2 linked regions of the Oryctolagus cuniculus genome follow. The protein of the gene in region 1 interacts with the protein of each later gene in a pairwise test. Links are inferred from orthologs where the notes say so. Each region holds a gene or a part of one and is shown on either strand. Other genes may lie near its edges.

What was found. The genes of interacting proteins can lie anywhere in the genome.
Region 2: the proteins of ZMYM2 (region 1) and FOXP1 come close enough for resonance energy transfer, tested with the Homo sapiens proteins (2 studies listed by BioGRID). The link is inferred for Oryctolagus cuniculus from reciprocal best matches to the Homo sapiens genes ZMYM2 and FOXP1.

Annotation. Positions count from the first base shown.
Region 1 is NC_091440.1:90,902,574-90,909,470, reverse strand, and holds the start of ZMYM2 (zinc finger MYM-type protein 2), read right to left. Parts: upstream 3,878-6,897; 5' UTR 3,681-3,877; exon of another isoform or gene 3,563-3,680; intron 3,533-3,562; exon of another isoform or gene 3,394-3,532; intron 2,586-3,393; 5' UTR 2,517-2,585; intron 1-2,516. UniProt on the Homo sapiens protein: Involved in the negative regulation of transcription.
Region 2 is NC_091441.1:78,256,194-78,262,387, reverse strand, and holds part of FOXP1 (forkhead box protein P1), read right to left. Parts: intron 2,050-6,194; coding exon 1,848-2,049; intron 1,744-1,847; coding exon 1,664-1,743; intron 1,063-1,663; coding exon 961-1,062; intron 1-960. UniProt on the Homo sapiens protein: Transcriptional repressor. Can act with CTBP1 to synergistically repress transcription but CTPBP1 is not essential. Plays an important role in the specification and differentiation of lung epithelium.

The DNA.
Region 1 (6,897 bases):
GTTTTTTAAAAAATCATTGTATTCCATTAATATATATGCTGATATTTCAGAAAAATCCTAACTATACATTTTCTAAGTCCCTCATCTCCAAATCTCTTACCAAACTTAACCAATCATCAACAATTCAACCAAGAACAAAAGAAATAATCCTGGAAAGATAAATCATTTGTTAAAATATGTGGTAATAAGTACTGTCCATCCATTTGAAAAGATGTGATCCTTGATCTATCATATTTGGATGATCTAATGCCTAAAGAGTTTAAACTCATTAGAGAAATAATGAACATATATTCATTCAAGTTATATTATTTAGGAAACTACAGACTAAATCATACAGACACAGTAAAATTGGCCTATCAGTTGAGACACCACTAGGGATGCACCCATCACCTATTAGAGTGGCTGGGTTCAAGTTATCAGACCTACCCTCTATTCTAGCTTCCTGTTAATACACACCCTTGGAGGAAGGAAGTGATGACTCAAGTAGGTGGGCCCTTGTTACCCATATGGAAGACCAGGAATGAGTTCCCAGCTCCTGGCTTCCAGCTGTGCCAGCCTTGGCTGCTGCAGGCATTTGGTGAGTTAGCATGAAAAAGTAACTGCTATGAGGCCAGCACTGTGGTGTAGTGGGTTGAGTCGCTGCCTGCATCACTGGCATCCCATATGGGTACTGCTTCATGTGCCAGCTACTACACTACCAGTTCAGCTCCCTGCTAATGCACCTGGGAAAAGCAGTGGAAAATGACCCAAGTACTTGGGCCCGTGTCACCCACACAGGAGGCCCATATGAAATGCCTGGCTCCAGGCTTTGGCCTGGCCCAGGCTCAGCCATTGCGGCCATTTGGGGAATGAACCAACAGATGAAGGTCTGTGTTTCTCTCTCTCACCCCCTCTAACTCTGCCTTTCAAGTAAGTAAAATCTTTTTTTAAAAAGTAACTGATAACTATAGCTTTCTTATTTAAAAAAAAAAAGGTACTCAATGAGGCACAGTACTTTCTATTTGTTTATACACCATTTGCTAAGTAGAAAGACAATAAACTGAGAAGACTAACCTTGGATTTTTTTTCACTGTCTAAATTTCTAATTTGTAAAACAAGCATTTAATGTACTTTAAAACAGTAGAGTGTAGCTGCTGAACTTAGCCTCTGTAAAGAAACTGCTTAAATTCAGATCCTCGCTCTACTGAATACTCTTGTTGGGTATCTCCCTATGTCTGTTTACTCTTCTACAAATTAGCAATAAAAACAGTCTCTCCATCATTGGGTTATGATTAAATTACTTAATACATGTCAAGATTGGTTTGGACATGTGTTAATTTTAGAATATGAAGTATGGACATCCAGTATACTATTCTCACTTAGGAATTGTAATGCTTCCACAATAAAGTTTTTTTAAAAGCTTACAATTGGGCTGGTATATACAGCTCAATAAATGCTTTTATTACTCTGCACAATACTTGCTAAGATTAAAGGAAATTAACACATAAATGTGTCCCACTGTACCTAAAATAGTGTGTATTCAATTTAAGTTGCCAACATCATATCAGCTTTCACAATCTGTATTAGACAATTCCTTATCTTGAATTCAGTATCTTTTGACCCACTTGGACAAAACATTTAGTCATAAGCTACTACACTTATGTCCCACCATTGCCAGAGCCCTGAAAGTCACAGTATCAACTGTAAACAGGTTCAAGAGATATAATGTATCCAGAGTGCTGACTTCACTGACACTCTGTAACTAGTTTCAAGGAACTGAAGTACAATTTAACCAGTAACCTTTATCTCACTGTCTAACACACTCCAAGATTGCACAGCAAATTACAAGCATCAAATCAAGAATGCGTCTTAAGAATGACCAACACGTTAGATGGGAGAAAAGGTAACTAGATCGGTATACTGGTCGAACCAGCATACAAGCTGGTGATCTAAGACACTACAGATCAGAGGCCAGCCCTCCATGCCCGTTCCCAAGCAAAAATATGAAAAAGATCTAGTAACTCATGAACCATAAGAGACAAAATTTGTGTTTTAGATCAGGACATAACATTTCTATTTTAGATCAGGATATAACCAAAAAGTTAAAAGACTGCTCCCAATCCTTTAAATCAGTGATCCATTGGGGGGGGGGGGATGTCAAAAATGGATACATACATAGCATTTAAAATGAAGTAACTTGAATTCCCACTTTGGAACTCTAGAGGGCACCAGAAATATGCCCTCCTTCGCACCACCCCTCCTCTCCAGTAACGTGAGCAGCTGCAGAAGCCCGTCGTCTGGTTGCTGAGGTTGGTATTGCAGCAGCAGGAGCGATGTCTGCAGCGGTGCAAACAGCAGCGCCCACTCCCAGCTGCCTCAACAGCCATTACCCGGGCTTCGCCCCGGGGGCAGCTGCCACCCAAGGGGAAAGCTCCTCCCCCTCAAAACAACGGGAAGGGCCAAGTCCCAAGGCTGAACCTCTACAACCTGACAACATCCTCTTTACAGAGCAGCAAAATCAGGAGCAAAGGACTCACAATGGGGGTGTTTTCCTCCTCACTTTCTGCCAAAGATGCACCAGACAGGGCTGTAGGTGATTCCTGGTCCTGGGATGAAAAGAAAAAATGGAAAATGGAGCAAGAATACCCAACCTGGTGGGAACACCGAGCCTTTTTCGCCAGAAGGAGGCAGAAAAGGCAATAAGAGGTCAAGGAAGTACGGCCCTTCTATTATTACCCCCACCCTGCAAACAGCCCCTTCCAACGTAAGTGGGGCGCAACAGCAGCAAAAATATGTATTGGGGGCCAATAATCCACGTGAAAGCCAAGATCTGGGGGAGAGAGTGGCCCGAGGGCACCAAGCCCGCTCCTGGAAAGGGAGGGGGAAGGGCAAACGTTGCCTCGATGCCAGCCAGGGATGTGCATTCCCTCCTAAATTCGCCCACCCAGCGTCATTCCCATCACTCTCAGCACCAATTTGGAAGTAGGGACGGCTCACGTCACTGCTGGGCAGATATCGCCCATATTTGCCCCAAGCTGTTGCCCTGGGCCCGAGGTTTGCCCCCCCCTGCAGTCGGCGACCGGCAGCGCTGCCTCCCCGTCCGCCATTAGAGACCCAGCCAAACAATACGTGAGGAGCAAGAGCCGCGCAGCGCAGCGCCGGGGAAGAGCAGAGCGAAGGAGGGGACCCGGCGGGGCCACAGGCAGCAGCCCTCGCCCCGAAAAAACTTGAAGACCTCAGCTCGGGCCGACAGGGTGGGCGCGCAGCCCCGAGAGCGCGATCGCCGACCGGCGCCCCTCCCCCCCACCCCCGCAGGAGAGAAAGGAAAATACCCCGCGACCGCCCCGCCGGCCCGCACCCCCCGCCCCGCGGCCCCGCCGGCCCGGCGACCCCCGCCGCCGGCGTCCGCCTCACCCAGCCCGCCCGGCCGCGCCCGCGCAGCCTTCGGGCCGCACGCGAAGGCGCCCGTGACATGAGCGCAGCCCCGAGCAGCCCCCGAGGCCCCGACGCGGCAGCGGCGACGGCGGCCGCGCCGCGGGGTATTAAGCCCGGGTCGGTGGGAGGCTCCGGAGGCTGCCCTCACCCATCTCCGCCTCCCCAGTCGCCTCCGCCTCCGCCTCCTCCTCCGGAGGCTGCGCTGCTCCCAGCCACCCCCACTCTCGGCGGCCCTGGACTGGAAAGACAGCGGGGAGAAGCCTCACCCGGTTCTGGCTGCGGCTCCGCGGAACGAACCTCCCCTCCCCCGGCCCACCCCCCTTCGGCGACACGCACAACTCCGCTCGGTCCAGTCCCGGCTTTAGCGCTGGTGAGGAGGAGGAGGCGGAGGCGGCGGCAGCGCGGCCGAGCCCGGGGAGGCCCCGCCCTCCACGCGCTCATTGGCAGGCGACGGAGGTGGGCCAAGGAGCTTGAGAGATTGCCATTGGATATGTCCGCCTTCCTTCAAGACCCCCCTCGGTGGGGTGGTCCGAAAGCCTGTCTGTCTGGCGAGAGCCACACCCCCGGCCCTGCCGTTCCACTCCCCCCTCCGCCGGCCCTCGGCTGGCGGCCGCGTCCCCTCCCCTCGGAGCCCCCGCCCCCACCCCCGGGGCCGCCAGGGTCAGGAGCCCGACTTTCGTGGCCAGCCGCACGGGCCGCGGCTCGACCCCTGGGACCCGAGGGTTCTCCGGGGCTGGGACGGCCCGAGGGCTGACGCGGCGACGCCTGCCCTAGCCTGGACCGGGACGCGCAGGCCGCCGCGGCTCCTAACGACTCTGCCCGAGGACGTACGCGGCCTCGATGCCCCAACGCCCTCCCTGTCCAGTCCCTTGAATCCCCCTCGCGAGGGGCGAGCCCAGGAAGGAATCAGAGCGAGGCCGAGGGCGCGGTCCGGGCCACGGAATAAGGGGACTCCAGAGGCTCTGAGGGCTAGGGGGACACTTCCACCCTCGCCTCGCCCCCGTGGGGAAGAGTCCCCCCACCTCCCGTCATGGCTGCAGCAGGAGGAGACGACGTCCTCCATTTTGTCGGAACTGCTCTGGGAACTTGGGACCCTTTCAAATCCTAACCCCGTGGGGCCCAGAAACTTGGCCCTGAGCGGCCCGCACTGGGTTCTGCCATTCGGCCGAGGGAACGGCCCCCGCTTCCGGCGGCCGCGGCCCCGTGGCCGTGGCGGGGGGTGGGCGCGGGCGCGACGGTGGGGAGACCCAGACGCCGCTCCCCGCCTCCATCAACCAAGATGGAGGGAGTTGCGGGCTCCCCTGGAGCTGGGCTCCCGCCCGCTCATGGGACCCAGGCCTGCCCTGGGGACGCCCCCAGCGCTGCCGTCTTCTTTGCACACCCGTGCGCTGGCCCTCCCCGGCCTCCCTCGGCCTCTCCACCATCTCCTTGTCCTCAACGGTTGATGGAGGCTCCATCGCTTCGCCCACCCAGTGCGGCCCCCGCGCTCCCCCGGGAGCCGGGCCAGGGACAGACGGCGCCCGAGGGAGGCGGACCTAGGGCCGCGTCCACGAGGGTCTTTTGTTCCTCGTCTACACCTACGTCTTCGGGGGACGTCATGGTGCTGGAGATTTCCAAGACTCCACGTAAAGATGAAAGTGATGCCTCTTTGGTCTCTCCCTGGCGGTTGTTAGTGGGATTACAAGTGGTGGCGTTGGTTACTTTTCCACCAAGTGGAAGCAGGAATTGGACCTCAATTTCACGATTGTCTGACACCGCTGGCTGCTAATAGACATGTGATGTTACAACTTAGAAGTTTCACACAATATTGATGAACATCAAGTTTTTAATGAAGCTAACCATCCATAAAGGACTCTGTGAAGACTGAAGTGTAAATTTAATAAATGCAACGTAATCTAGTGCAATTTGAGATTCATTCGTTATCAATAAAAGTTGAATCAAGGAGCAAGTGTTTGGGGCAGCGGTTAGGATGCCTCTTGAGAAACAGGCATCCGATGCCTGAGTGCAGGGGTTGGAGTCTCAGCAAGGCTCCTGATCCAGCTTCCTCTTAATGTCCACCCTGGGATACAGACATGATGGCTCAAGAGAGTCCTTGCCACCCTTGGTTCCAGGGTCGTGGTTTCTGCCCCGTCCTAGCTGTTGCTGCCTTTGAGAAGTGAACTCAAGGATGGAAGATATCTCTGTCTCTCCTCCTTTCAAATAAGTAAAAAAAAAAAAAAAAAAAAATCCTCCCACCTGGGACTAAATACCACAAATATGCTGCTTTTATTAACGGGACAATAGCCCCCATATGTATTTTCAAATTTAAAAACCACTTTTGTCTTTCGAGAAATTTTTTTATTTCATAATTGCAAGATTTTTCCGCTTTCAGGACACTAAACTATCCCAAGATTTTATGGTACATATTTTGTTTTACATGAACATACTTGATGTGTATCTGTCATCACAACAGAACGTTGCCATGAGCTAACATTGTAATAATAAACTTACACCATCCCTTTTTTTGCCACCCTGAACTATTGCAATAGCTTCTATTCATTATGTTTATAATTAAATAAATTGGAGATACACAATCTGTTTAAAATTGTATCTATGAATTACATGAACTCATCTTTATATTAATAGAATTTTTAAAATAATGTCACATGTAAGTGATAAGTTTCAACATGCTATTCAATTGCAGGACACTATATTGCTATCTCAGCATGATTTGTAATTGATTAGCAACAATAACACTAACTATCGAAGTATTTATTATTCACATTATTTCTTCATTCAAGTCCATTTGTCCATGAAACTTAACCAGTATGTTGACATAAGAGAAATTTTTAGTTGAGAGTTTAAAAAGGAAAAAATGCTTCTGTGATATAATTTAAATACAAATTAGACTTAATCTTATATAAAAGTATTTTTAAATAAACATTTCCATGTTCATAACAGCATTATTCATGATTTCCAACAGGTAGAAACAACCCAAATGTCCATCAGCTAATAAGTGGATCAACAAAATGGGATATTAGCCATACAGTAGAATAGCATTCAGCCATAAAAAGGAATGAAGTTCTAACATATGCCTACTGCATAGACAAACTTTGGAGACATCAATCCTAAGTGAAAGGAACCACACACAAAAGATGATATTTAGCATGATTCCGCTCATGTGAAATACCCAAAGTTGGCAAGTATGAGATGACATCAGATTAGCAACTGCCAGCTGCAGGGGAATAGGAAGTAGGGAATAATGGCTGAAAGGTAGGGGTTTTCATTATGGAGACATGGAAATGTTGTAAAATGGATTGAATTGATGACCACCCAACCCTGAATGCATTCAAAACTTTAAACTGCACGTTGTTGTAACTGCATGAACTGCACAGAATGTGAACAGTATCTTGATAAACCTGTAACTTAAAGAGTGTGTGTGTAGTTACTCACCAAGCACGAAAGCATATTAAGCATGGTAGAGAGGTAACAGAGAGACCAGAG
Region 2 (6,194 bases), on another chromosome or scaffold:
TCAAGCAAATCAAGTGTTCTTGGCATCCTGTAGTAAATACCTATCCTGTTTACACTAATTACATGTAAAAATATCTTAAGATCTTTGCATTCAATGTGTCTAAATGTTTTGGAGTTTAGGGATTACAAAAATTTCAGGTAAAAAAAAATACAAGTGTCAGCATGTACTTGCCCTCTTTTATATGCAAAAATAAGACACCAAGGTATTCAAAGTGGGAAATTTCAAACACTATTGCTTATCCTAATCCAACAGGATACATACTAATGGAATCTATGAATCAACTACTGAACTGGGAATGAGGTGTGCCATGTGATCCCAATTATTGTGGGCACCCAACAGATAACGATGGATGTGAGAATCAGGTTTCATAACTTAGAAGCATGCATGGACCTCTGAGGGGCAGTCTCATGATTTAATCCAATGAAAGCTGGGTCAGGTTTGTGGGTTCATTTCTCCAGGTTCCTAATGGTGAGAAAGTGATCTCTGTATACATGCAAGTACCAGCTGTGGTTAAAGACCTAACAGTATGAAGTTGGTGGGCAACAGTATCATCTCCCTTTCCTAAATACTGCAACCAGAAAGAGGTAATTTTACTGGTTGTTCCATCCACACATCTGATGCCAGTGTAACGAGAGTCTTCCATCCAAGCATTTTAACCACAGTCAGACTATTTTCCCAAAAAAATAGGGGATACTTCGAAAAGTTTTGGAAAATGGAATTAAGACAGTTCATTTGGGTGCAAAAAACTTTTGAAATTCATGAATAGTTTTTTGTCATAATACACATTTTCCAGTAACTTTTTGAAATCTCACATATTCCTATAGATTGACCACTTTGTGTGTATCCAAACCATATAAATGTAACTTCCTAGTAGACCAAAAACCGCATCTTATTAAAAGCAGACTCTGCTATAAAAGTCAAGACCCAGGATGGACCAGGCCTGACAGAAGGCTTGCTTACCTTCCACGTGGCTGCGTTGCGCCGGAAGTAAGCAAACATGCGTGTGAACCAGTTATAAATTTCATTTAGTGTTAGCTGCTTTTCTGGAGATTCGAGAATGGCCTGTAAAGCACAAAGCAACAGCAGAAGATAATTTATGACCAAATCAGCAAAATTGTTATTATACAGTTTTTTGAAAATATAAACTGTGACTCAGAGCTAAACCTTAAGAAAGGTTTCACAAAATGATCTAAGATTAATGGTTGTATTTAACAGTTCAATAGCAAAATTCAAAATGGAATTATCTAATTGTTTTGAGTTTTTATTTCTGTTTCCATACAGAAATATTAATTTATTAGTCATTCATAAAGCAGAATCAAAGAGAAATGCAAAACATTTCACTAGCTGATTAAAGCTCAGTAATTATTTAGAGCTCAGATTAATTCTAGGGATCAGAGATTACTGTAGCTTGTGATAATTGACTTGCCATCTTTAAACAGGCTCATTTTCACTGTTGTGTGAAATGAATTTCCTAATAATCACATCGTATTGTAATACTTAATCAAAAGCAATTATGTTATATATTGCAGTTTTAAAAAACCTTATAGAAAAGGTTTTAGCATGCTTGCATACTAAACGGTTTTAAATCTACTTCATCAATATAATATATCCACGTACACGTACACCTTTTGATATAGTTTCACAAACCGCATTATTTACTTACCTGCCTAATTAAAGATGCATATGTAAATGGTGGTCTAACTTCTGCGTTCTTATAAAATTCTTGGTTCTGCGCAATATCTGCTAAATAAGAATCATTGTCCTATTAATTATCACTTTTTAAAAAGAGGCTGATCAACAAGAATTGCAGATTATACTTTGACACGAGGCAAACATGGAGTAGCTACCTGAAGAAATGGGCACGTTGTATTTGTCTGAGTACCGCCTGCGGATGGGCCCCACCGTGTGCATGCTGGTGGTGGTGATGACAGAGGGGCCTTGGGTGACGGGAGTGAGGGGGGCGGTGGGGGTCGTTGGAGTATGAGGTAAGCTCTGTGGAGAAGCCTCTGATGCGGACTTGGAGAGCGTGACGCTTGACACCAGATTCAGCTGCGAGGGAAAGAACACTGATTAGGAAGACCTTGAGGAAAACACAGTAACCAAGAAAGCAAGAGTAAGACAGTGGACGCCTGGCAGTGTTGTTTTTCTAAGTAGCTATGTCTACAATCAACCGAAAAGCAAGGCGAGTGTGGAAACAATTCATTTCAGTATTTACTCTGAGAGGCTTCTTGCATTGTTCTCCCCTCTTTGCAGTGAGACAGGTGTTTTCCGAAAGCTGCTAAACGGGTGTTGACAGACACAGAGGGGTTACCCAGCCTAGTGAAATTATGAAGCTTTGCAGCACCGACGGGTCTGTAATCGTGACATCTCACCTTCTTTAATAGCCTACTAAGCATGCTAAGCCTCCGAGAGGGAGATGGAGTTCTCAGAGCCACCAGCAAAGACAAGTATTTGAGGGAACACCACTTGGAATGCATTTCTGTTGGACCTCGGCAGTCCAACAGAAAATAACTTTCTGTTCTGGGCTGGCACATCTGAAAAACCATTTTTACTTAATTGTAATTAAAATTAAACCCTGATGAATCAAAACAATGTCACGTGACCTTGTAGCTACCACACTGGACAGCACAAGGATAAACTACTCAATTCCAGCATAGAGATTTCACTGATGATGGGAATGGCCTATATCTCATATTAAATAGATTGGCACAGACCTGATAAGCCATCATTTCAATCAGCTGGCAGACATTGGTATTTTAAAGCTTTTTGTGTAATCTTCATTAGCCTCTATCAATATAGGATCAGAATCTATTCATTTTAAAAGGTGGCAAAAAAAAAAAATTTCCCTTTAAATTGTGAACAGGCTGTAAAATGAAACAGTCTACATTAAGTAAGGAAATGAGTATTATTTACTAGGAATAGTATTGAAGAAAATGAATGCTATTTTGATTTATCTATTTTACCTTTGCCTCCAAGTGCTATTTCTATGAATACTAGAAGGAATAGCCCTTTTTCAAATTTTGTTGCAACAGAAATATTATGTTAAGCCTGGAAATGCTGAAGAACCGTTTTTAGCGTATTTGTTACCATTTGCACAGAATTGTTATCTTAGATACATAGAACCTCCCCTAAATCCACGAATCTTCAGCCCTTCGTAACCTTGTCTCACTGAGGATTTTGCATTCCCGTAAGCAGTCGGGATTTCACCACCGCTACATTCAGTTTGAAGTACAGGCACTGTTTGTGTAAGGTACTCCAAATGAGATTCCTCTGAGACCACAACCAATGAAGAGCTTCAAAGGGTTCCACTGGTGGAGACGATTCTTACTCCATACTCTAATAGTGAAAAGGCCAGCAGAATCCTCAATGAGGGGAGTTCCAAGGGAAGAAAATGACAATCAAATATAGCTGAGGAAATATTAATGGGAAGTGTAAACATGATGCTGGCAGTCGAGAACCTTGAGTTGTGCTTTCCTTCTTATCTTCAGCCTGGATTGTTCCCTGAGCAGAAACCGCAGACCTCAGTGCGGAGGACAGCAGGCTACGGAGATGGCACTACCTTCACAGATCCCCCAGCAGGCTGGGCATATGCTCGGAGTTGCTCTTTTCAATCGAGCTGGCAACCTGACTTCATGGCACACATTCGCAAACTAAGTGCTAACAACAGTGTAGCGGGGCGGTGCTGGGGAGCCCACCGACAGGAGTTGGGGCTGACCCGGTCTTGGACACGGGCCTTCTTCACTGACCAGGCCCGAGAAAAGTACGAGAACACATCAGCACGAGCAATGGGTGGACAAGACTCATGCAGAAAGGTCCTAAGCACATAACCTTTATCATTCAGACGCTGCTGTGGAGTCACGGAGATCAGTTCCAGAGTCCTGGTTTAGAACACCTGCCACTTGGTGGTTTCTTTCCTTTCTCATACCATCGCTGATTTGAGGTGTTCTTCCCCACATTTTAGAGATAAGCAAACTGAGGCTTGGAGAGATTAAAAAGCTTTCTCATGTTCCCAACTCAAACCCACAGTCAAACCGCAACTTGTGTGGTTCTTGTCCAGATTGATCATCTTATACTTGGTTAATGGGAAAAACAAACACTAACTGGTTTGACTTCTCTGTGTGCTCATTTGTGAAAAGGATTCAATGACTAGCTATTATCTCTGTTACAAATAACATTCAAAAAGTATTACTGAGCAAATATAAGTCAGAAGGTCCTGTAATAATGGAAACAGGAATAAAACACATGATTGATATCCTTGAAGAGCTCACCATTAAAAGCAGAGATTGGTCAAAGACAAATGTACACGATAACCACAAAAATATTCCCAGGACTGATTCCACTTCTTGGCTTCTCTTTTCAGCTTAAGAACAGGATCCTAAACATTGTGGCCACCTTAAAAATGTAGTGAAAATTAGCTATAAATGTCCTTAACAAATATGGAGGTGGGCATAGTGAGTATGCCACAGCTTGGGATGCCCACCCCTATCAGCGTGCCTGGGCTCAAGTCCTGTCTCTGCTTCCGATCCTGCTTCCTGCCGTGTGCGCACTCTGGGAGGCAGTAAGTGATGGCTCAAGTACTTTTGTGCCTGCCACCCACATGGGAGACCTGGATGGAGTTCCCGGCTGAAGCCTGGCCTGCCTCCCCTCACCTCCCCCCATCTCCCTCCCCACCCCCAGCTACTGCCAGCATGTGGGGAGTAAGCCAGCAGATCTCTCTCTCTGCCTTTAAAGAACATGCACGTCTGTTCCAGTTTTGTGAGGAAGATCACCGCATCTAGTGTGTCAGAAATAAAGTCATGGCAACATGAGGCTGGGGCAGACTCATTTTGGGGGGTACTGATATCTAAGACCAACAGACAAATCCCCAGTATCAATCAAATGCAAAAAGAATTTGAGTCTTGTACGTTTTTACAAAGGTCTCAGCACTAGGACTATTGCTACCAACAAAAGTAGCAGAAAAAAAAAATCCCTCCAGGTTAGCAGTCGACAAGGAGAAAGATGAGGAAGAATCTTCTGGGTGCTTTGGCACCTAGGTAGTGGAAATAAACACTGAGCCAGAAGAGAGCAGAGAGGGGGTTTACCAGGCTTGACAAATGACACCATGATTCACACCCACTGCTGGGCTGTCTCTAATAAGCCACAGAGGAAGCAGCCAATCTCAGCTAATTACCAGATAAAAATGTATTGTAAGGACTCTAATTAGGAGACGCGGATGGAGGTGATCTAATGATTAAATGCTGCATTCGGGTGACCCCACCATCCATGTGCAGTGGTGCAAGATGTCACTGGAATATTTTGTAGAAACAGTAATTTTATTTCGAGGAGGGGAGGCAGTAATATTTGTAATGATGGCTATGAGGTAAACTAATTAAAAGACAGTTCCTGGAGGAAGAGGGTGGCTGAGAGCAGCTGTGGCCATTCCAAAATCAAGTGCCAAGTCTCAATAGAGGAGCTGCAGTCAAGTGGAAAATTTCTGCCTGACCTCTGCCCTCGCTATTAATTTGCAGGAAAACTAATGACACATATACATATTCCCACAAAATTGTTCTAATTGCTAATTTGCCAAAGGAGCCAAGATTCCAAATTAAACATGACTGTAGTCTGTGAGGGAAGGAAGGACAAAAAGCTGTAAACTCCAAATAGTGGGTGCTTTGCCACACAAAATCATTTGAAGGCTGAACCAACAAGTTAATGAAATGTCAACCTTGTCAACTGCTATAGAAGTTTCTTAACTTTTAAGCTTTCGTTTGATGATCATGTGCTTGTCTTGAGGAGAATCCATCTTCGGAGAGGGAGAGGAAGGGAGAGGGAATGGAGCCTGCACGGGGAAGGATTCAAAACAGGCTTTGTGTGCCAACCAAACCTGCTCTTTTAATTAAGTTCTCTCTGGAAAAAAAAGTGGACCAAAAACATTAATGACAGATTTAGAACAAAAGAGCACATCGGGAACGGTGTGGGTTTTGCTATAATCTTGAAATATTCATCTTAATTGTAAACTATTAAATCTTAATAAAATCATCAATTAGAAATGAAAGCATGTGTGCTTCGTGTGTCTGTCGTTAGGGTTTTAAAAGATTATGTTTTCTGGGGCAGGGAGCAGGAAGGGACTGGACTGGGAGGTTTCTTTTCCTGATGGAAAGCCTATTTTTCTTACTGTGTTCATTTTCTACTTAAAAAGAAATTGCTATGTTTAG